Arabidopsis thaliana: one gene and its partners. The protein of the gene in region 1 interacts with the protein of each later gene in a pairwise test. Each region holds a gene or a part of one and is shown in the gene's direction. Other genes may lie near its edges.

Evidence for each region.
Region 2: the proteins of COS1 (region 1) and AT3G13672 interact in binary tests that used the Arabidopsis thaliana proteins (3 or more experiments, as listed by UniProt).
Region 3: the proteins of COS1 (region 1) and AT4G18650 interact in binary tests that used the Arabidopsis thaliana proteins (3 or more experiments, as listed by UniProt).

What each region holds. Positions count from the first base shown.
Region 1 is NC_003071.7:18,220,920-18,229,526, forward strand, and holds COS1 (6,7-dimethyl-8-ribityllumazine synthase / DMRL synthase / lumazine synthase / riboflavin synthase), read left to right. Parts: upstream 1-3,293; 5' UTR 3,294-3,384; coding exon 3,385-3,535; intron 3,536-3,622; coding exon 3,623-3,738; intron 3,739-3,874; coding exon 3,875-3,970; intron 3,971-4,046; coding exon 4,047-4,142; intron 4,143-4,285; coding exon 4,286-4,364; intron 4,365-4,604; coding exon 4,605-4,651; intron 4,652-4,749; coding exon 4,750-4,809; intron 4,810-4,959; coding exon 4,960-4,998; 3' UTR 4,999-5,314; downstream 5,315-8,607. Other genes in the region: AT2G44030 (Galactose oxidase/kelch repeat superfamily protein), read left to right, coding at 1-309; AT2G44040 (Dihydrodipicolinate reductase, bacterial/plant), read right to left, coding at 1,066-1,134, 1,256-1,343, 1,445-1,554, 1,647-1,748, 1,851-1,925, 2,021-2,154, 2,355-2,592, 2,754-2,967 and 1 more; AT2G44060 (Late embryogenesis abundant protein, group 2), read left to right, coding at 6,003-6,974, 7,064-7,069; AT2G44065 (Ribosomal protein L2 family), read left to right, coding at 7,941-8,037. UniProt on the Arabidopsis thaliana protein: Catalyzes the formation of 6,7-dimethyl-8-ribityllumazine by condensation of 5-amino-6-(D-ribitylamino)uracil with 3,4-dihydroxy-2-butanone 4-phosphate. This is the penultimate step in the biosynthesis of riboflavin.
Region 2 is NC_003074.8:4,471,160-4,478,302, reverse strand, and holds AT3G13672 (TRAF-like superfamily protein), read left to right. Parts: upstream 1-3,938; 5' UTR 3,939-3,959; coding exon 3,960-4,058; intron 4,059-4,129; coding exon 4,130-4,762; downstream 4,763-7,143. Other genes in the region: AT3G13680 (F-box and associated interaction domains-containing protein), read left to right, coding at 1-769; AT3G13677 (uncharacterized protein), read right to left, coding at 1,211-1,501, 1,696-1,746, 1,834-2,007; AT3G13674 (uncharacterized protein), read left to right, coding at 2,422-2,579, 2,766-2,875, 3,274-3,293; AT3G13670 (Protein kinase family protein), read right to left, coding at 5,069-5,128, 5,227-5,415, 5,519-5,676, 5,786-5,876, 5,964-6,138, 6,294-6,436, 6,533-6,751, 6,839-6,968 and 1 more. UniProt on the Arabidopsis thaliana protein: Probable inactive E3 ubiquitin-protein ligase that plays a role in regulation of autophagy. Upon starvation, involved in maintaining ATG6 homeostasis by competitively associating with ATG6, a component of the autophagosome complex.
Region 3 is NC_003075.7:10,261,588-10,269,665, reverse strand, and holds AT4G18650 (transcription factor-like protein), read left to right. Parts: upstream 1-4,226; 5' UTR 4,227-4,243; coding exon 4,244-4,666; intron 4,667-5,347; coding exon 5,348-5,623; 3' UTR 5,624-5,697; downstream 5,698-8,078. Other genes in the region: MRH1 (Leucine-rich repeat protein kinase family protein), read right to left, coding at 6,089-6,346, 6,440-6,631, 6,815-6,969, 7,050-7,182, 7,263-7,453, 7,537-7,965, 8,055-8,078.

The sequences.
Region 1 (8,607 bases):
AAACTAGTTCGCTGTCGTGGCGCTATGGCGTGGCATTGGACGGTTGGGGGACTTGAAGAATTGTCTTGTAATTATCTTCTTTCGGTGGCAAGCCCTGGCGGAGGAAGGAGAGTGACAGTTTGGTGGAAGACGTATACTAAGGAATGTAAAACGGAGATTTGGTGTGCACTAATTTTGCTTGAGCGCGAGTTGGTTTGGGGAGTCATTGAATGGTCTGAGAATGTGTTTACCTTGCCTGGATCTGAATCCGATTCAGATTCCAATTCCTTCCTTTTGCATTATGAATTAGTGACACTTGCTCGACACTGAATATATACTTTCACAAGTCTTGCTAATTATATGGATATATACTACCAACAAGACCAGCAGCTTCTTTCCTTAATGCTTATTGCAGACATTGATGGAGCTTACTTTCCCTCATTTGTTTCTCATGGCCTATGGAACATAAAACCGTTCTTTGGTGTCTCATGAGAAGCCCATTTAAAGCCCAAATAAGCTGTCACTGTTACACATTTAAAAGACTCCCCGGAGTTCTTCTTAGTTGCCTGCCCTAAAATGCATACCGCCAAGAACAGTCGAAGTGACTCATTTGTTCAATGAGAATAACAATAAAAGCCAAAAATCTTAACAACACCAGATTGAATAAACTTTGTCGATTAAGATTATATACAAGATGATTTCAATCTCTGCGGATTGAGTGGTCAAGTTCCTTACTATGATTATGCACTTGATCTCATTTTAGATGTTGAATCATCAAATGGTAAGTGAAGGGTCCATTTGATGAATTTAGGTTTTACTTTGTCTGAGAATTGTTGTGGAGAAGTTTGATCAATAAGACTTCACTTCAATGATCCAGAAAGGAGAATAACATTGAGGTAAAGAGGTCAAAACATGAACAATACAATGGCAAGTTCTTGTATATACCAAGGAATTTCAAAAGCCTGTGCTCAAGGCAGAAGAAGTGGGAAACCAAACATCTAATTTTCACAGCTGATGATTTGGTAAATCTAATCTCAGCTCTTCTACAACCACCATTTGGTCAATGCACTGGCAAAACTCGAAAGCTCAACGCATATTTCCCTCTCTCAAGACATCGATCATGTTGTAGATTCGCTGATCTGCTTTCAATCGAATCTGCATTTCACAAAAGTGTTGAATCAACAATTAGCATTATAGAGAAGAGCGGTGAGACTCAGAGAAAGCTGAGATTCAATTTCGCAGAATCATGATGAGCAATAAGAGCAAGCTTTAGAACCTTTTTGGCGAGGAAGAGCACGGCATCAACAGTACCCTCAGCATAAATTGATCGGCCGCAGACATTGTGCTGGAACTCGAAGGAGACACTGCAAAGAAAGACAAAGAAAAGGGAGCTAGTTATGGAACAGAGACACTTTTACAATGGAAACAAAGAAAAGTATAAACAATATCTTAGATATTGCATTACGTTTCATCGGGTGATGTCAAGTGATAAAGATGGAAAGCGTGACCAGAGATATGCTCCTCAGGTACACCCACCATCTCCACTTGCTGTTTTGGATCCCGAATCAATTGTATCTGCCACAAAAGTTGTATACACAGAAAATTCACATTCCGAGGATAAATTAAGTGATTGCCAAGATGTAAACAATAAAGGATGACCAATGCACCTGATCCATGTCGTAAGACACACCCAATTCCTGGAAGCAAGAAATAACAGCTTTTGCTGTTCCGGATGCATCCAATTTGCTAGCTTGATGAGACTCCATCACCTACATATAGATTGGCAGTTGATTAGATGTAGCAAGAAGTAATATAAAACTAACAGAGAAAGAAAAAAGAATTTGAATGTATAAAAGAAGTAAGAAAAGTACATCCAAGGAATAACCAGAAAAGGCTCCCGGAAACTGCTCAGCCATGATCTCCATGGCCGCAAGAAATGCTACAACCTATAGACCAACAAAGCACACAAATATGAGCAAAAATGATCTTAACTTACATGCATAAGTAATCATTTCTTCCAGAAACATTCAAGTACACATACCTGTTTACCCATCTGTGGAGAAATCACAGCATAAATCTTTGCTTCCTCAACAGTTTCATACAATTTGTTCCTATCTCCACCAGTTGTTCCCATGACGAAAGGAACACCTACTTTGCTATACAGCTCCGCATTATCTACATTTTGCGAGAATACCAAACTTGAAATCAACAAACAATAGACAAAAAAAACACTTCTAGCAGATGATTTTCACTTGCACAAATTCTAAACTAACTCAATCAAGGATCGTTCCGCCAACCAGAATTCAACCATAACTTCAACAAATCTAGAATACAATTGTCTTTTGATGGTAGAAATGAGAGATTCTGAAGTTTACCATTTACTGCAGAGGGAATTGTGTAGTCGACAACAATTAGCTCCGGGTGCTTCTCAAACACCGAAGAAAGAACCTTTTCTCTTTCAGTTGGACCGTGCACAGTAATCTCCTTTCCACAGACCTCAACTCTCTGACCATCCTCACCAGCAGATCCAAACGATATGGGAACAATATTTACTCCTGCAGAGTCTGCTGCTTTAATTACAGCTTTCCCCATTTTGCCACTACATCCATTCACCTGTAGAATAAGAGATAATGAATATAGCTAAATCCAACATAAAAATCCCCATTTCAAAAGGAACAAGCTTTGACATTTCTACATTTCAAACTTAAATGGTAATGCAAAGTCAAATCTCACAACTTTGAGTCTAAGAGAAATCATCAGATGATCAGGTTTACCATGATGGATATGCCATTTCCAGGCAAAACAGATTTCACGGCCTCCTCACCGGAATCCGCCATCGCCGTCATGGATAAAACCACCGGAAGACGACGTGTCCCAATGCCCATGAAACTAACACGGCCTTTACCGTATTTTCCTACAGTCTGATTCGTTCTAGAAGCAAATGCGATACGCGGGCGATGAAGAAACACACTGGACGACGCCATTAACCTGTGATCAAATCGTTTAAATTCAATAGAATCCTCTTAAAGAGTTTAAAGCTCATCTCCGTCAATCAAAACGTGAAATTCGTAGGTTTCGAAACGTACCCATTCGTAGCCATAAAGGAATTTACTCTCCAGGATACGGAAGTTTTGTTCTTTGTTACGACGGAGTCAAAAGTTTAAATCTTTCACTTTTGTCTGAAAATTTCCGGCCGGTGAGAGTGATTGGGGATGTAGGGTTTAGCTTATCCCTTTTCATCAAACCGGAAATCTCTAACCAAACTAATAGATTCAATGAAACCGTAATTTTAATGAAAATAATAAACCGGAAGCCTTGAACCGATTTGATAAGCTAATGGACCTCACAGTCTCACTCTTAACCTGAAGAACGAAGAACCGTCTCTAAAACTCCGACGAACGAAAAATGAAGTCATTAGCTTCGCCGCCGTGTCTCCGCCTGATACCGACGGCACACCGTCAGCTCAATTCGCGTCAATCTTCCTCCGCCTGTTATATACACGGTGGCTCTTCTGTGAACAAATCCAATAATCTCTCATTCTCCTCATCCACATCCGGTAAGCTTGCTTTCTCTCACTTCTCTTATAATAACTCAAATCGTTTTTTCGCAATTTCGTGATTGAGATGTTAACATTTGGTGTTAGGATTTGCGTCACCACTAGCTGTAGAGAAGGAATTACGCTCTTCATTCGTACAGACGGCTGCTGTTCGCCATGTTACGGGGTCTCTTATCAGAGGCGAAGGTCTTAGATTCGCCATCGTGAGTTCTCAGAATCGCTTTCTTACTTTGTGCGCTGCTTAGATTTAGTGACTTGGTTCTGATTTACAGTGAAATTTGAAAACTTTGAGCTCAATTGCAGTGTTGACTTGGTTCTGATTCATTTTTCTTTCTCAAGGTGGTAGCTCGTTTCAATGAGGTTGTGACTAAGTTGCTTTTGGAAGGAGCGATTGAGACTTTCAAGAAGTATTCAGTCAGAGAAGAAGACATTGAAGTAAAAGTCTTTTGCTTGTAGAACAGAATAAAAAGTTATGAGCTTTCACAAAGCTAATGACACTGTTTTTATTCAGGTTATTTGGGTTCCTGGCAGCTTTGAAATTGGTGTTGTTGCACAAAATCTTGGGAAATCGGGAAAATTTCATGCTGTTTTATGTATCGGCGCTGTGGTATGATTCTTGTTTTGAAAGAATCTCAGGCTATTCCATTTGTTTTTCTCCTCATATGGCTTCAGAAAGTAGTTGCTTTATGTTGATAACATATACTTAAAGAGTTGGATTTTGATATTACTGTTGTCCTTGTTGTGGTTTAGATAAGAGGAGATACCACACATTATGATGCTGTTGCCAACTCTGCTGCGTCTGGAGTACTTTCTGCTAGCATAAATTCAGGTTTACCTCGATACTTATTTGCTGGATATACATCTTTAGACATTTTTATTTGACATTGTTTTGGAAACACTGAAAGATTGATTTTGTATACTTCCGAACCTAAAAGAGCGGGTAGTTCATTTTTGCTTTTCTTTGGATTTTGGATGTTTAAATTCCCTCATCATGAATTACTTCTTCAAATTTTGTGTTTACGCACTATTGACTCTAGTAATTAAAGCTTATAAAAAATCCAATTTGCAGGCGTTCCATGCATATTTGGTGTACTGACTTGCGAGGACATGGATCAGGTTTAAGTTGTGTTATGCAAGAGTTGATGATATATAGCTTATTCATCATAATGGATGAACACTGAATTTGTTAATATTGTGGTTAACTGAAACTCTAGGCTCTGAATCGATCTGGTGGCAAAGCCGGCAATAAGGGAGCTGAAACTGCTTTGACGGCGGTAAGTATCATTATGATTCAATCCTTTATTGTTAGAATAAGATGTAGAAATTCCTGATCATTCCATTGAGCAACTGGTCATGTTATAACCATTCGGGTTCTTATGTCTTTTTGGTAAAGTCTTTGAATATTTCTTCCTCTTGTTTTTCAGCTCGAAATGGCGTCGTTGTTTGAGCACCACCTGAAATAGCTCGGCTCGTTCGATGGATGAACATGATCACGTATGAGAACCTCTTGATGTTGTCCCATTTGGTTACAATCCAGTCTCTGAAATTGTTTGTACCTCAAAGATTGTCAAAATGTTTTACCCTTGGTTACAAAATCATTTAAACGCTTTTGTAAGCTTCTGGCCTTGTTTTTTTTTTTTGAATCGTATGATAATAATAATTCCTCCGAATTTTGGGGGTCTTTCTGTACTAATCAAAAATGTGATCTTCTTTGTTGTAATATCTTGAAATTGAGGTGTCGAAATGGATGTCAATTTTAAAAGCCAATAAGGATCTTACACGACGAAAATTTTGTCGGCGAGCGAAGATTACGCGTCACATTGATAATAGTTAATATAAAGTTCAACGGATCAACCAATTCCACAATCTATAATCATTTTGTGACTCTTGGAGCACTCTCTTCTCTTTGTCTCTGTGACTCACATTCATCCAATCCAGGTAAAAATCAAATCCACTAAGTTTTATTTCTCTTCATTGTTGTTCTTGCGTTGATCCTTCATGATTTGATCGGAATACATGGAAAAAGGTGGTGTAATTAGATCGAGCTTTTTGTTTCTCCGATCTGTTTGACATTTAGGTTGATCTAGTGCTATCATGTGTAGATCGAACATTCGGATCTGTATTTCCCACGAATCCTCTTGATTCACGTGATATGATCATTGTCTCTTAGTACAGAGATGCATTGTATGTTCTTTGGTTTGGGATATTCCACTAGGATCCTAGTTGATGATATCTAATGTGATGCGAGTTCTCTATGGTCTTTGGTGAGAAACTTTGTTTTGGTGATTATAGCCTCTTACAACTACTAAAAACTGTGATTACACTTTGTTTGACTTTTACAACCATTGTCCTGCTGTGATTGATGAATCTACTCTCGGCGTTGAATGCTTGAAGTTTTGTCTATTCTTTGATACTCTAAGCTTTTGTTTCTGTGGCACTAATTGACTTTTCTTGCTGCTTAGGAGGCATGTCGACATCTGAGGATAAACCGGAAATCATCAGTAGAGTAGTTCATCAGGAGGGTGACGTGGAAATCGTCGATAGAAGTCAGAAGGATAAGGACGAGGAAAAAGAAGAAGGGAAAGGTGGATTCCTCGATAAGGTGAAAGATTTCATTCATGACATTGGTGAGAAACTCGAGGGAACCATTGGCTTTGGGAAGCCAACTGCTGATGTCTCTGCGATTCATATCCCTAAGATCAATCTTGAGAGGGCAGATATTGTTGTGGATGTGCTTGTCAAGAACCCGAATCCAGTTCCTATCCCTCTCATCGATGTCAACTACCTGGTCGAGAGCGATGGGAGGAAACTGGTTTCTGGTTTGATCCCGGATGCTGGAACACTCAAGGCTCATGGAGAAGAAACTGTGAAGATACCATTGACGTTGATCTATGATGACATCAAGAGCACTTACAACGATATCAACCCCGGGATGATCATACCTTACAGAATCAAGGTTGATCTGATTGTGGATGTGCCAGTATTGGGAAGACTGACATTGCCGCTGGAGAAATGTGGAGAGATCCCAATTCCAAAGAAACCTGATGTTGATATCGAGAAGATTAAGTTCCAGAAGTTCTCTTTGGAGGAAACCGTGGCGATTCTCCATGTGAGGCTTCAGAACATGAATGATTTCGACTTGGGGCTCAATGACTTGGACTGTGAAGTTTGGCTGTGTGATGTAAGCATTGGGAAAGCAGAGATCGCGGACTCGATCAAGCTTGACAAAAACGGAAGCGGATTGATTAATGTGCCGATGACATTCCGACCAAAGGACTTTGGTTCTGCGCTTTGGGATATGATTCGTGGTAAAGGAACAGGGTACACAATCAAAGGTAATATTGATGTTGATACACCATTTGGAGCTATGAAGCTTCCTATTATCAAGGAAGGTGGAGAGACCCGTCTGAAGAAGGAAGATGATGATGACGACGATGAGGTTATTTACCTATATATTCTTTTCTTTTGCTTATAGCTTGAACGTTATGATCGTTTTTGCTCACTAATATTAATTTCATTTTCTTACAGGAATAAGGAAACAAAGTGCTGCAGAGACAGAATGGTCATAGTTACTAAATCTCCGATCTTGAAATGTCTATTTAAAATTAAAAAAAAAGAAAGACTTGTTTTGTGTGCTTTTTGATAACTGATGGATCAGACTTTTGAATAGAGCCGTCTTTTTATTGGACTTCTTATATCATTGTGGTCTCTCGTTAGCTTAGTTATGTTTTGTGTTTCACATTGGCGTTTATCAATTACATGAATGAACCTAAAACGCAGTTCACATCCTCAACGATCATGTGTTAATTCATATTTAGAAAATTTAATCTCAAGTGATTCTACAATGGAGACGTTTATTACATACGTGCTCTGTTCTTCCTTTCTCGCGCCTGCACATGGTGTAGAAAACACTGATAGAACGAGCTGGGCCTATCTAGTGGGTTTGGTGTATTGGGCTTGTATTAATGAATTGGGCCTGTCTTCTCGATTTTAATTAAAACAATTAGGCATTTAGGCTCTCTCTCACACACCCATAGTCGTCTTCCTCGATCAGTCTCTCTCTCAAATTGCAAAGGTTTCTTCGAGGACTTTGGCATACTGCAGGTTTGTCCCGATCTCATGCTACATCATTATACGAAGCCATTACTTAACCCAGTAGATTGATAGCTCAAATTATCATTGCAAGAAATGACCGGATTTAGTGATATTGTACAGTTTTCTGATTCGGAATTTTAAATAAAAATCGGTCGTGACGATTTAGGTATGTGGGTAGTGCGTAGAAGCCCTAATTTCAAGGATATGTACAGTTCCAGACTGTTAATTATTTGTGTTTATTTGGATAGGTTGTTGGAGCTGTAGTGCTTAAAAACCCTACCTTTATACTGTTTAGAGCAGCAGTCCCTCCATGTCAGGTCTTGTGGCGTTATGCAGAGCTCGAGCTTCTGCTTCGTCTTCTTTATTCAACAGCGTTATTCGTCCAGCATTTCGCAATTTCTCTACAGGTAGGTGGTATTACTCTTTATTCTAGATGTATGCTTTTGACAGACTTTTCAAGTTTTCTCACTCTTTGCTTTGAACCTTGAATGAATTTGTTGAAGAGGTGATATATGGGTTGTGAAATGGTGTAGGAACATGGTTGCACTGTGAGTTTTATAATAATAGTTAAAGCCATTTTCCTTAGGCAGAGTATTGTTACAAACAACAAAACATTGAGTAACGTCTATTGTTATGTTAGCCTCTTCTATTTAAGTGGTCAAGTTGATTTTTTTTCCTATGTTGTGGGTTTTATCAAGCTACAAACCTCTTCTAGATGGATTAGGAACTGGATGAACGAACTTACTTACTTCTGGATTAGATGATGAGCTAGTGTGAAAGTGCGGTTGCTTCTTTTTGTTAGATGATAAAAGAATGAGCTTGTATCACATCGGCTCTTCTTCATAAATTAGTCTTGGATTAAAGATTGAGCTGAAAACTATGCTACTTCAAGTTAAGATACTATGTAACTAGAATAAGTTTATAACTAGGGCCTAAGCTGGGATCTCTGCAACTATGGTGCTATTTGTATCTAATTC
Region 2 (7,143 bases), on another chromosome or scaffold:
TAGGTATGCTCTTGGATATGATAACAACCGTAACCACAAAATATTGAGGATTTTCGATTTGTATCCAAGCAGCAACCGCGTTTTTGGGTACGAAGTCTACGATTTTAGCTCTAATTCATGGAAGGTTCTTGATGTCATTCCTGAGTGGGATATACAGTCTCATTTTCGTGGCGCGTCTTTGAAAGGGAATGCTTATTTTCCTGCGCAAAAGAAAGAAACAGTGGGAGGAATAAAGACAATAAATATTGAAGATGTTCTACTTTGTTTCGATTTTACAAGGGAGAGATTTGGACCGCCTCTGCCACTGCCGTTTCACTCTTACAATGCAGACTTTTTTGTGTCTCTAGCTTGTGTTAGGGAAGAGCAGCTCGCTGTGTTATATCAACGCTGGGGGGCATTTGAGACAATCGAGATTTGTGTTACAAATAAGATTGATCCCAATACGGTTTCGTGGAGCAAGTTTTTGATAACGTCCACTGGTTTTCCGGTTGACACTTTTTCTGGGAGCTTTTTCATTGATGAGGAGAAGAAAGTTGCTGTGGTTTTTGATTTAGATAGATATAAACCGACTGAGACCTGTCGCTACCAAATAGTTTATATTATTGGACAAGATGAATACTTCAAATCTGTCAACATGGGAGTTGCCCCAAATATCGCGAAGAACTCGTACCAAGCTTACTGTGTTCCACTTGTGTGCTCTTCTTCCTATGTTCCAAGCTTAGTTCAACTACAAATCAACAAACCGGGCAAAAGGAAAGAAAGTAACTAGTTCCATTTACACTACTTTTTATATTTTTCTTGCATCATCTTCTTTTGTTTCATTCCATTGACTTTGATGTTCTTTTGAACGATCATTAACTTGTGTTTTGCTATTTATCTGCTTATAAAGAAGTGGGGGGTTTTGTGATACAATCAGCTCGGCCTTTAACTAAAATCATACTAGTTGTTTAGATGTAGGAGTCCATATGGAAATAGATAGATAAGTTAAGAGAATCATTTACTGCCTCTGTTTATAAAAAAACACTCGAGGTATTGGAAATGTTTCATTTGTTTGATGGTTTGGTGGTCTGATGCATCGTGTTCTGTGTTTTGGTTTCTTAAACTCTTGAATGAAATTAGGCATAAATTTTGAGTCTTCCCTCAGCTTTATCCTTGAACAACCTTTTTAACATCTTGAATTTACCCATTTGGAGTACACAAATGCAACCATTCACAAACCTTCTCCCACATTCGCGCCAAGGACAATTCCACCCATGCCACGCTTATAGCTTAGCTTGGATTGCTCCCATCTCTCGCACTTCAAAACATAGCTTCTTTGAATGCAAGACCAATATACAACTCCATTCCTAACGATTAATGGGCGTCTCACTTCTTCTCTGAATGTGCCATTTACTTCCAATTTGAGCGACTTGTGGGTTTTCATCATCCGAGTGTCACTATCGGGAAATATGTTACGGCCTAAAGGAAACTCATCCCACAAACTGTGGTATATTATTCTCAACTTCAAACTCAAACCGTTTCATTGCATCCTCATCCAATTGATCAATACAAAGGGAAAACTAAAACATACAATTAAAACCAATAAACACCAACTTCTTAAGAAACTAGCTTGTTGCCATGTCATTAATCAACAAGCAATCTCGAGTAAAAAGTTATATTACATTAGTTCCTTATACATCAAAATCTGGATTTTACAAGGAGAGCTGTGTGAATAGCAATTCCAACTCCTTCTCTTGAGACAATGTTCTCTGTCCAACAAAGAAACATAAGTTAGTTAGTTTCAAAGGTGTTTCATATAGAGTAGTAATGTGAAGAAGAAGAGGATTGACTTACTTGGACAGATAAAAGGTCGTTGATTTTGTTGAGAACCTTGAGACGATGAACTGCATAAACACTGTTTGATGGAAGTTTACAAACCCTTTTGATCTCTTCCTGAATCACACTCGATTTCTCATCACAATCCATCTCATTCCATCTTTCTCCCACACGATTACCTCTGCTTCCCATTTCGTAACTGATTCCTCAGCTGAAACTTCAATAAACAGACATATACAATGAAAACGGAATCAGTTATTACAAAGATAAAGGGCTCGAAAAATAACAACTTTGTGTTCGATCGAAAATAGAACAAAACAGAACAGTGGGAAGAAAGATTGAGTTTTTACATCAAGGGTTACGAATTCAGAGCTCGCAGTTTCCGATTTTGTCACACTCAAGAGAATTTGCGAAAAGAAGTGATCGAGAATTGTCTTCCAGCCCTAAATTCGACACCGGTCTTCTTATCAAATAATTTTGGCTTTTTCAGTTATTTACTTACCCGACCCGTAAACTAACCTGTAACCCGACCCGGGACCTAGCTCACTAAGAACCCTTTAAGCCCTAAAATCTCCGATCACATCTGAATTTTGCTTCTTCCTGGCAATGGCATCTTCAAGAGTGTTAGGCAGATTCTCGTCTCGATTAAAGTCTCTATGTCAAAATCTCAGCAACAAGAATGCCAATGTTTCATCACTCCCCTCTCCCATCAAATCTGCATCACCTTCCTCAGCAACTAGTTGTCGTCTCAATCGATCTTCAAGGTTTGTCTTTTGTATCATTTCACACTATCAAATGGAGAAGACAAAAACCTTCTTTTTTCCTCACTATCAATGGGTCTGCAACAATGTAGATTACTTGCTGATAATTTTGAAATCTGAATCAACAAAGTCAAAATCTTTCTAAGCAAAATTACAAATTTGATGAACTTGTTGGATGGTTGTTTTCAGATTACCAGTGGAGTTGAGCTCGATGATACCTCTGCACAGTGCTATAGCATCGTCCAGGCTCGTCTCAAGTTTGTCCGTTGAATCCAAAATCTGGGGATTAGTTCCTCAAGGTCAGTTTTTGTTTTGTTCTTGAGCACTGGAATTACCATTTGGGTTTACTTTACATAGGTGTATCAGCACACAACACATTCTGTTGTTTCTCTGTGTTGCAATTTGTATCCTTTGTACTGTGTATATGGCGATAAATGTGATGATGCATCAATTTGAATCCGATAGTTAGCTCTACGGATAAGGATGTACATAAGTTCCTTTGATAAACTTGACAGCAACAGAAGTATGTGATCATATAGCATCATCATTTGTAAATCTGATGAAGTTGAACCCTTTTATGTTTGTGTATGGATCTGAACTGATAAAATCACACATTACTTCTAAGTTTGGTTTTGATAGAGTTTCGTTGCTTAGTTAGTTCAATAGATTGACATGAATCTTTTCTTTGGAATTGCAGGTCTTTCATTGCCTTTATGACAGTTTTCTTTTCTCATCTTACAACAAGTTTCCAGGAGGATAGAGACATAAACGAAGCTCGGATTGTATCGTTCTTTTTAGCTTTTATTCACATCCGAAAGTCCTGTAGTTTAGATTCTGTTATCTTGCGGTTTTGAGTTAATCAGAAACAGAGTAATCAATGTAATGTTGCAGGCTAGATCTTTCATCTTTGGAAATTTATTTTTTTCTCATGCAATTTCTTTAGCTTGACCATGAGTGACTAAAAGATCAATCAGTAGCAATGATTTGATTTGGCTAAGAGACATTTGTCCACTTGGCATCTTGATTTGGATGGTTACAACTTGCAAGACCCAATTGGATACTTGCTATGACAACTCCAACTCAAGAGTGTCGTGTAACTAAGAACCTTGACTAATTTGTAATTTCAATCCCAAGTCATGTTACTATATGTTTTTTTGTTTGTATTATTTTCTCTCCTACAATTAAGCTCTTTGACGTACGTAATCTCCGGAACCAACTCCTATATCCACCATTTACTCCACGTTGTCTCCAATTATTGGACGTTGAAACTTGACACAACGTAAACGTATCTATGTGGTTGATTGTATGTACATATGTACAAACGTACACCTTTCTCCTCTTTCACTTCATCACTTGGCTTGTGAATTCATTAATTCCTGCGAAATGGAACCTCGAATCAATGACCTTCAGGTGGAATCTCGGGTTCATGAGTTGCTCGATTTTCCGGTTCATACAAACCAGATATCCTCTGCAATCTACGAGGTATGTATATCATATCATATTGATACTACTACAATAAGAACACAACAAGTAATATACAGATCCTATTGCAGTGTCCCAACGACCACATCGAAAACCCTAAGAAGAAACCGTACAATTGTCCACACTCAGGAGCCAAGTGTGATGTCACAGGAGATATTCAAAGGCTACTACTGCATCTAAGGAATGATCACAATGTTGAAATGAGTGATGGGCGTAGTTTCAGTCACAGATATGTTCATCATGATCCTAAACATCTTCATCATGCTACTTGGATGTTAACAGTAAGTTATATAACTGATTATCTTGCTCTGTTTCTGCAACTTTGTGAATTTTTAAGTTTTAACCCACTTGAAACGATGCAGCTTCTCGATTGTTGTGGTCGAAAATTCTGCTTGTACTTCGAAGCGTTTCACCTGAGGAAAACACCAATGTACATGGCCTTCATGCAGTTTATGGGAGATGAAGAAGAGGCAATGAGCTTCAGCTATAGTTTGCAGGTCGGAGGGAATGGCAGAAAGCTGACATGGCAAGGCGTGCCGAGGAGCATTCGTGACAGTCACAAGACGGTTCGTGATAGTCAAGATGGCTTAATCATCACTCGCAAATTGGCTTTGTTCTTCTCTACCGACAACAACACCACCGACAAGGAGCTGAAGTTGAAGGTTTCAGGTCGTGTATGGAGAGAACAGCCTGTTTCGATATGAATTCGATAATTAGGTTACAGAATTGGACAACTATAGAATATTTGGTGACAAAAATATCTTTTCTTGATTTAAAAATTAAATATAGCAATTTCGAGGGAAATGTGTAGGTAAACTGGTGATTATGGCTCAATCCCCTTCACAAGGGGGGAATAAACAACACAATCACCACATTTTTGCTTCACAATTCAACTGAAAAAAAAGAAGAAGCACAACAGAGCCTGAGAGGCCATAGGGTTGGATAAGGAATAGGAGCCGAGACTTAGAAACATATTTCTCTCGTCCTTCAACAGTTTTTACTAATAAGTCTCAAGATACAGTTCGGCCATAGCTTAACGATGCAAGGTAGAGATTCTTTCCCCATTTTTCCTGCACAACAGAAAATTGCATCTCCGGTATTGTTCATGGGAAGGGAGAAAAAGAGTTCAAGATATTGATTAGTAATCTTTTATAGCTGCTCTACTCACCTTGACGTGTGTGCTGGGGAATTGAGAGGTACGTAACGTCTCTTGTGTCTCATCAACAAGTCTACGACGTGGGATGCTTAGGATGAGAGCAGCTTGATCGGTTGTGGCTGCTGTTGATGTGATTCTGAATCCACCATCCCAACGCCTGTGGATGCCTTCACTTGGATACAGAAAATCAAGTTCCACAACCTGTAGAGGAGATATAAGCGAAAACAGGAGAATTAGAAATCAACGCGACAGATCCAAAACTGAAGGAAACGGAAGAAATTCATCTATATCGGTGAAGTCTAACCTGTTCACTGTAGCCAGAATTGCGGGACATAACAACACCCCATCGATTTCCAGCTGTTGCCATTGAGGTTACATGGAAGCCTTCTCTCCATTTCTTGTTTATCCACTTGAACGGGAATGAATCGCTTACTTTGTAAGACTGCTGTGTATACTGCGTACCTTCATAATTCATTTGAAAACCAAACATAGAATAAGCCACAAATTCAGAGACTAGTAAAATACCATAATGACGAAAGTGTTCAAAAGTATTCATGAAAAGTGTAGATACCTTTTGACATGACAACTAAGGAGCTTCCATTGCTTGCACCAGCAATAGAACTAATGTAGTAGTTCTTCTCCCACTGCTCCATAATCCATTCCTGATTCAAAACAGAATTCACTCTCAGGTAAGATCATCTTGACAGAACACAGATATAAAAATAACTAACAGAGAAACATCAGACAACCTTGTGCAAGAATACAGGAGAGAGTTCATAGACTTGGTGCGTGAAGCCAGTTCCAGCATCCATTATCAATGCCCAGAGATTCGAACATGATGATACACAGCTTATCAACAAACCATCTGCAATACCTCTCTCAATATGCTGTGCCAGTCTTATATCAGCCACATTATAATGATACCTGGTTAAACACATAAATTGTGAGTCCAAAAATAGTTTTAGACACATTAAGGCCAAAAATCCAAGATTATAATATAACCAAGAGAAAAAATGAGACACAAACGCAGTCCCAGCAGTTAACTGACTGTATAAATAATTAACCATGAATTTTTTTACCTCTGCTTCATTGGTTGCCTGGCATTGTAAATCGATATCCATTGCGTTGCAGGGACTCCTAGACGGACCTTTTTCCTAGGGGCATCTTCTTCTTCCTCCCCAATGCTCAACCTACCTCGCTTCTGGCCAACTTGGAATATGATCTAGCACAAAAGAAAACAATTACAAGATGTTAAACAACAACTCCTAGATATCCAAATAGGAACGAAAGGGAAAGATATACAGCATGAAAATGTCACCTTTTGAGCACCCTCTGTGTTTATAGGCCTAATTGCCGGATTTTCGCCCAAGAGGTCTTGAAACAGAGATACTAACTTTCCATAGTTGGGTTCTTCATCAAATTTCATATTTACCACGATCTCAAGAAATTGTTTGAAAGGAGGGGGACAAAAACAACAAAGCATATCCGGCGATGTTGCCATCTTCTTTTTGCAAACAAGGAATGACTTGTTATCTCCCTGAAAATTGAGTAAGAGACAGGATTAGCAGAGAAAGAATCATGCAACAACATGATTCTACAAAACAAAATGATAGGTCTGCAGTACCTGATATCCTTGCCATGGCAATCTACCTCGGTGAAGAAAGATCAGTGTATATGCTAATGATTCCAGATCATCCCTTCTGCTAGCAGTTCTCCCTAAATGAGCATGTGCACTTGCGTATCTAACTGTCCCTCTATAAAAATTAAGAAGAGAGAGATTCAACAAAAGGTAAGAGCGAGTATAAAACAAATTATATTAGGTAACAGTAGAAAATATATTACCTAAACATATCAGGACGTTGATCATATTCAACATGTTGTCCGCTACCACCTTCTCTCCACTTTGTAGCTGAAAAGTTGGTTGAAAAA
Region 3 (8,078 bases), on another chromosome or scaffold:
ATATCACATTAATTGAAATTAAAAATATATAATAAAGCTTAATTGAACATTAAAACATAAAATTACAACATTTAAACCAAACAAACATAAAAACCAAATGCAATAGATAAATTTGAACAACATAAAGAAATTTAATATAATAATGAAAATTTTGTTTTTGGTGTTAAAATTTGGTGTTTTGGTGTCAATGGTTGGAGTTGCTCTTAGACCATCCACATTGGTGGACTCTTAGCAAATCTTCTTAACATTATTTTTATCTTCTTGACATTATTTTTATAATTTATTTTGAAAATTTTGAAGTTAAAAGTTCATTTTTTTGGCAATGTCTAATGGTGGGCTCTTAAGATATGGCTTTAAAAAAAAAATGTAACACTAGATCAAATTTATGTGTTTTGGTTTATGTGTTTTTTGGTTTTGGGGAGAAAAAGGAAATTTTGGTTATTTTGAGAAAACAAATATATGGTTTTGGTTTATGTGTTTTGCTTTTGTGGAGAAAACAAAGATACGGTTTTGGTTGATGTGTTTTAATCTTGTTTCACAATCGGAATTTGGAATAAAGACATACACAAAGTTTACAATAGGTTTCCTTTATCATAAAACTGCTTCACAATTGGTTTCCTCTATGACTAAACTTTACAAATTTGATCAAAGCATATACAAAGTTTTCTTCAGTCACCAAGTCTTGAGTCATCAATGTCTTCTCTCTTCTGCTTCCTTGTGAAACGTTGCAGCCTTATTCTTCATCCTCTGTGCATACTCTGCTTTCTTCTTCTCCTATGCTTCCTTGTAAACAGAGACAAGTTATAAGAAAACAATGTTAGCCAAATTTAAACGGCAAAAACTTTAATTGGTAAAGAATAGAAATCAATGGAGCTTAGAGATCCTCAAGAGGGTGTCGATATCGTTGAACCACTTCACTTTTGAAATCACTCTTAGTAGTGGTATCTACATCTTTTGTCCTTTCGTTTGGAGAGAAGTCAATAGACACAGCTTGGAGCAGATCATGAAAATTCACATACCAATCAAGCCGTTGCTTGCTCCACTCTAGGCTGAACAACGTAAGATTGGATTTTGTTCAGAGGCATATTGTAAGTCTTCTCCTAAGAGCATCGTTTTAAAGTTCCATCACAAAATCATCTCTCCATATACATCCATATAAAGATCAAAATAAAACGGAGAGATTTGATCAAAATCTTTTCAATTTCAACACATATATCTCAAATAAATATAACAATCATTCGTATGGCAACAAATACTAATCAAATTAAAGTATGAACTTACCCTATTTTACAAAAATTGAATACACATAATTTTCCCAATTCATAAACCCTACTTATAACTAATTTTATAAGGCTCAAACAAAATCAATTCAAACATGCAGAGAGATTCATACCTTCATAGACCGATATTTGAGCTGACGACGAATCCTTCTGATTGAACACAAATCGTCGAATATCCTCGCCGAAGTAACGGAAAGCATCGTGAAAGAGAGAGAGAAAGAAGAAAATAATTCTTCGGCTCACGGTTATATTTTGTTTTATATTTTTCTCTTATCATTTCGACACCTGTCCCGTTCTTAACTAATTAATTGGCTCTTATATTAGAGACGTTCTTAACAAATTTATTATTAAAAACATTAAAGTTATATCCTAAGAAGCCGTGATAATGATGCTCTTAGAATTGGAAAGAGTTTTATTGGAATTTGTAAAAGGCCCAAAGCTATTACCTGACCCTAATTACTGTTTACATTGATCAGTAAGATAGAAAGAATGATGCAAATTACGAAATAATTTTTGAACAAAAGTAGGTTAAATAAATCAACTAATTAAATATAGAAAATAATTTAACTTTAGTCAACTAAAAGAATTAATTAAATAGAAGAAATTATTTGAAAAAAATATTCAACTCCTTCATTTACCATTTTCACAAAAAAAAAATGGGGTCAATTAGATTCCACTCATTTATTTAGAGGTGACCATTTTGCACTCCGATCACAACTTCAAAAATAGTGTTGACAAAGTTTATGACTGTAGTCTTCTTGCTAGTTGTCCGACCATTGCTCTTATTGAGCAAATCATCACTTTGTTCGTGCCACTGATGCCACCTATTCCAATTTGGAACAGTACCAACCATATCGCGTCATCGCCTCATTTATCTTACTTTTACTCGTCCGAGCTTTGCTTTGTGATGTATATTATTTGTCAACTCATGTATAATTCGATCAATGCGCATTGGGAGGCTGCTTATGAGGTTATCCACTCTTAATGATGTCTTCTTGTATAATTTGCTCAATGCCTCATTATATAAGCTTCGTTTTTATTTTAGGCACTTTTTTCTTAAAGTATCCAAGTAAATGCACCAATAAAATATGCATATGAGCAATCAGTTCCCAAATGAGAATTTGTTGACAAGAAAATATGAATATGAGCTCACCTACCCATACATACCACACTCAGAATTTTATAACACGTTAGAAGAAGTTATACTTCCGTTTATTTGTCTCGCAGCCCACTAAAGGCCTAGTAGAGGAAGTAAAGAAAAAGAAAAAGTCCATTTAAGAAATTGTACTGGTCCCAAAATTGTCGGCTTCTATCTGTTTAAAGTTTAAACCAAACCCAACCCAAAAGGCCGAAACAATAGTACTGCATCTGCATGTTTCGTTATTTATTTGTTATATTCATATATTAGCCGTTTTGGGGTTTATTTTTTAGTAGATAAACATCATAATATTTTTTTTTAATATAATTAGTAATTAGATTTTCAGTTTCTATAGTTAATCTAAAATGATTTACTTTAGAGTTTACACAAATCATATATTTTCTGAAATATGCTTTCCGTGTTTATAATAAATTCTTAATTCGAATTAGTACAAATCTATTTAAAACCATGATAAAATAACATTAAAAGACAAAATCAAAATATAACAAAAAAATGGTTTCCTTGTAGATTTTATTACACATATTATTATAAAGATAAGCAAAACTATATACATTGCATATTCTCATATACATACACTAGCTAGTGGAGATTGACTGGGTAACTTACGTGGAAGATATGTTCCACGTTGACGCTAATAATGGCTAAACGAACGACACGAGGATCCACATGAGCCATCAACTCTGTGACTTGCCGTTTCGGGTCTCTCAGAGGTCAAAACCCTCCCTTAGCTAGTTTTCGAGTCTTCTTCACATTGAAGAAAGATCTTACTATTATATTCCATTTTTATTGATCTTATCAATACATCAATTTCTGTAGCTGTTGAATGAATGTTCTCATTTGTTATTTTTGGAAAACATATATCAGTGTTTTATTAAAATACTAAGCATGAGTTGATTTAAATTCATCATATAAAATTACGTAAATTAAAAGACTATTTACTAACTTTGCAAAACGTCACATATTTGCAGTCGGCCAGTGATGCGCGTAACCATGCAACTATTGTAATCTCCCTTCTCTTCCATCTGTCATGTCTTTTCTTTCAAGTTTTAATATTTCTTTCGTATAAAGAATTAATTAATTAATGTATATTTTAATCATCTTTTCGATGAACGTAAATATCCACGTATAAGTTTTTATGTACATTCAATTTTTATATACATATCTCTATACTTAAAATCTTAGATATACGTTCACATGCTGCATGTCGACATTGTAGAGGTCCTCAGAACTAATAACGTCAAATTTTTTTTTTTTAAAGCTTTTTTGATAGGATTTTGTATTAAAATTTTAAGGGAAGACAACCCACCGGCCATAGTGACTTAGCATATAATAAAATATGAGTATCTGATTAGTACAAGAATTGTACAAGAATTTTACGAATACCAAATCACATATTAATTATTGTCTTTTTAAATTTTCCCAAACTGGTACCCTTTAAAAGGTTACTTAAAATCAAAACAGAAAAAAAAAAACCAAATAAAAGAGATTCAAAATTTCAAAACTCATGTTAAGCAATATTTGGTGACCAAATGATAATTACATATTAAGTTCTTTCGGTTTAATAATAAATATGTGTTCGACCATTTCAACTCTACTATTGATTCATTTTCTATATTTCGTTATTCCGTACAAAGTAGAGTTGGTAATATAAAACCATTCCGAAATATATTATAGATAAATTATTATTACAGAAACATCATGCATGCACCTGGGGATATACATATATGCATTGTGTATATATCGATAGACGTAGGTATAAATATTGTTCCAAAATGCTAATTTTCTTTATAGAATATAACCACTAATGAGCAAAATGAGAAACCTAGTAGAAGAAAAGTTCCTAGAGTTCTATGAGAGTTGGGTTATTCAACTTGAGCTATATCTTCATCAACTTTTAATTGCTCATAACAATAACACTATGAGTGAGACCGAGCTTCGACATTTGATCTCGAAGCTAACTACACATCACAAAGCTTATTATACAGCCAAATGGGCAGCCATAAGAGAAGATGTCTTAGCTTTTTTCGGATCAGTTTGGTTAAACCCGTTAGAGAATGCTTGCTCTTGGTTAACCGGATGGAAACCGTCGATGGTGTTTCGGATGGTTGATAGGCTGAGGAAGTCGAGAGTGGTGCTTGTGGAGGCTCAGGTGAAGAAATTGGAGGAGCTGAGAGTTAAGACCAAGTTCGATGAGCAAAAAATTGAGAGAGAGATGGAGCGGTATCAGGTGGGTCCAACATTTAGATTCATTAGAATTTTAAAACTATTTTTCAAACATTGATTTATTTATAAACGGAATTTTTTTAACTGAATAATGGATTGCTATTTTCAGTGATTGCTCTATTTTCTTTGAAAATTATGTTTTTTTAAAAAAATCTTTAAAGTTATAGCAATTTTGATGAATTTTCTATTGAATCCTTAACATTTAAACCGAAAAGCAAATTATATTGAAAATAGTGTCAAATCAAAAATATTCTATATATTTTTTTTTGTTTATTCAAACAAGGGATACCGAATTTTAATATATATATATATATACACAAAATATTTTTTTGTTAGACCTAATTATTACTCATCTGTGTGGTGCTAGTTGGATACAATTTTAAATTTTATTTGATATAAAAGACAACATATATGATCTTGATATTTTACGGAATGGTGGAATGATTCAATATGTTTTTGTCTATTACATTTTCTTCGAATCACGTTTTTATTCATCTATTTTTAGTTTTTTACTGTTTGCATAATTTGTGAAAGAAAAAAAAGTCGCCATTTCCGTAAATTTTGGACTTAAATCAAATATTTTCCGTTTACCTTTATCAGTAATTACTATACCTATACTGAAATGTAGGAATACAAATTTTGTAAATCATTTTATTTTAGTTATTTAACTTGAAACTGTCTTTAGGTGGCTATGGCTGATCGGAAAATGGTAGAGCTGGCGAGGCTTGGATGTCACGTCGGAGGAGAATCGGTGATGGTGGTGGAGGCAGCGGTGAGAGGATTATCGATGGGTCTTGAGAAAATGGTGAAGGCTGCGGATTGTGTGCGGCTGAAAACGCTTAAAGGTATATTAGACATTTTAACTCCACCGCAATGCGTTGAGTTTTTGGCAGCGGCGGCTACGTTTCAGGTTCAGTTACGTCGGTGGGGAAACCGAAGACATTATGTCACTCACTCCTGACACAAACTTAAGAGTTATTTTCTCTGTTCTGTTTTTTTTTTTTTTCATATTACAATAAGAATGAAATTTTTAACTTCCATCAACTGCCTCTTGCGTTAAAAACTTCAAACGAAAAATAGAATGTAATTTCATGCATGAAATATATGAATGTGAAGTAACAAATTTTATACATCAAAGACTAAAATATAAGCGAAACCTAATAATATTCAAAAATTAGAATCACACATATATATCATCACAAAAATAATAATACTACTATGCAATATACAAACACATATCGAAACTCGTATATATCAAATCCATAGAGAAGGAAACACTAATCAAAACAAACTGAACGTTGAAGAATCAAGAAACCAAATGCTCATATAAGAAAAACTGATCCAAGAAATCAGAAGAAAAAGAAAAATCGATACAACGTATAGAGAGATTGAGAGCATTAAACGAATAGGAGAAACCTCTGATTGGTCAAGTAGCTTCAGAGGACAAGATTTCGAGCTCTGCCCACCAAAGAGGAGAGGATCTTGGAGTAGCTTTCTCAGGAGTTATGTTGATAACTTGTTTCAGTTGTTCCGCTACATCTTTCATTGAAGGTCGTTGTCTCTGTTCTGTTTTCAGACATTCTCGTATCACATCGCAGATCACTTCAAGCTCCTCTTCTTTGAATGTCTTTAACGATGGATCTATCATCTCTCCCAAGTCGTCTTTTTCAAGGTACTTCGATGCCTGAAATATGGACCAGACCGTTAGTATATAGATGATATCCTCTGCTTTTTTTATATTATTAGATAGGGATTATTATCGCTTATATATATATACCCATTGCTCGATAGATCCGTATTCGTCTGAGAAAGAGAGCTTTCCAGAGATGATTTCGAGCATCAGGACTCCGAAGCTATGGACGTTAGCCTCCGGTTCTGGAGGTAGTAACAATGACGTTTGCTCTAAGTCTCCACTCACGTGTTTCTTCGGATTTAATCTTGCCTCTAAGTTGAATGGAATCTCCGAGACCTGTAAATTCGGTTAAACAAATCTTTTTAGCGGCTTAAAGACAAAACATCTAAAACAGTTTCAAGGTTCTTGAGCAAATTCATCTTAAAAACGTAAACTTGTAATACAAGTTTCAGAGGTTCTTGAGCACATACAGCTTAATAACAACACCTTTAATAACAGTTTGAGAGTTTTAGAGCAAACCTTGGCTGCGTAGTCATCGGTTAGGTAGATTTCCGATGAATTGAAGTCCGTATGAGCCATAGGCGGGTTCATCCCGTGCATATGTTGAAGACAGTAAGCCGTTCCCATTATTATTCTCATCCGTGCGCTCCAATCAAGATGCTCTGTCTCCTTATCTGATAGGCGGAAAACGTTATTAACTGAGAGAGTGAAAGCCGAGATAACATCATGAAAAGACCAAGACCAATGTTGTTACCGTGCAAATGTTCGAAAAGAGTTCCATTTGGAGCATATTCAAAGACCATCATCCTATTAAAAGGATCATCTTCTTCGCAGTATCCAATCAGATTCACAAAGTTCTTATGGTTGATCCGTGACAGAGTATCAATCTACAAAAAGACCTTTTAAGTTATAATGATAAGACCTTTTAAGTTAGTTTTTTGTTAGTTAAGAAGGAGTAAGCAGTAACCTTTCTACGGTATGCCATTTCCATGGCTCTTGTCCATTCTTTAGATTCAGCAATCGCGGTTGAAGCTACCGCTATCTCAACACCACTCGACAATGTTCCTTTATACACAGTGTAACCGTCAAATGTCTCTATGATGTTGCTGAAATCTTCACACGCTGTTTCAAGCTCAGACCGATTGAGCTTTGGTACCCCTACATTTTGTTCTCAGTTTCAGTGTTAATGTTCCTAAAGAAACAGAGTAAAAATGGAAACAAAGAGAAATAAGATTTTTTACCGGTAACAAAAGCTTTCTGCAATTGTCCACTAAGACCAGTTTTCCAAGGACCTATGCTCTTGACAGCTCTTTTCCGGCAGAAGAAGATAACCGCTACTATAATCAGTAAACCGACGAAAGAAGCAACCGCGATAACCACATACAGCCATACATGTTTTGATCCTTTTGACTGTTTATTATCTTGTGGCTGATTCTTAGAGATATCAGGACTAGTACTGCCCTTATCAGGAGAAGGTACAGGAGGGACTAAAGGTGGTCTTCTCTTCTTTGCATTGGTTACTGCAGGGAAAGACCCGCTGCTTCGAGGTGAAGCTTCAGTTATAATCCCGGGAGAAGGACTAGGAGCTGAAGGAGCAGGCTCAGCCGCTAAATTACTTGTCTCCTCGAGTAGCTCACGTCGTTTGTAGATATCAGTTTCCTCCAAAAAGCCTGCAAGAATCAGATTGAAATGACACCTTCAAGTACTTATCTCTAGTTTCTACGTTAAATTTGTTGAATCCAAACTGTCTTTGGCTTACTAGGGAATGCTTTCAAGAAACGTC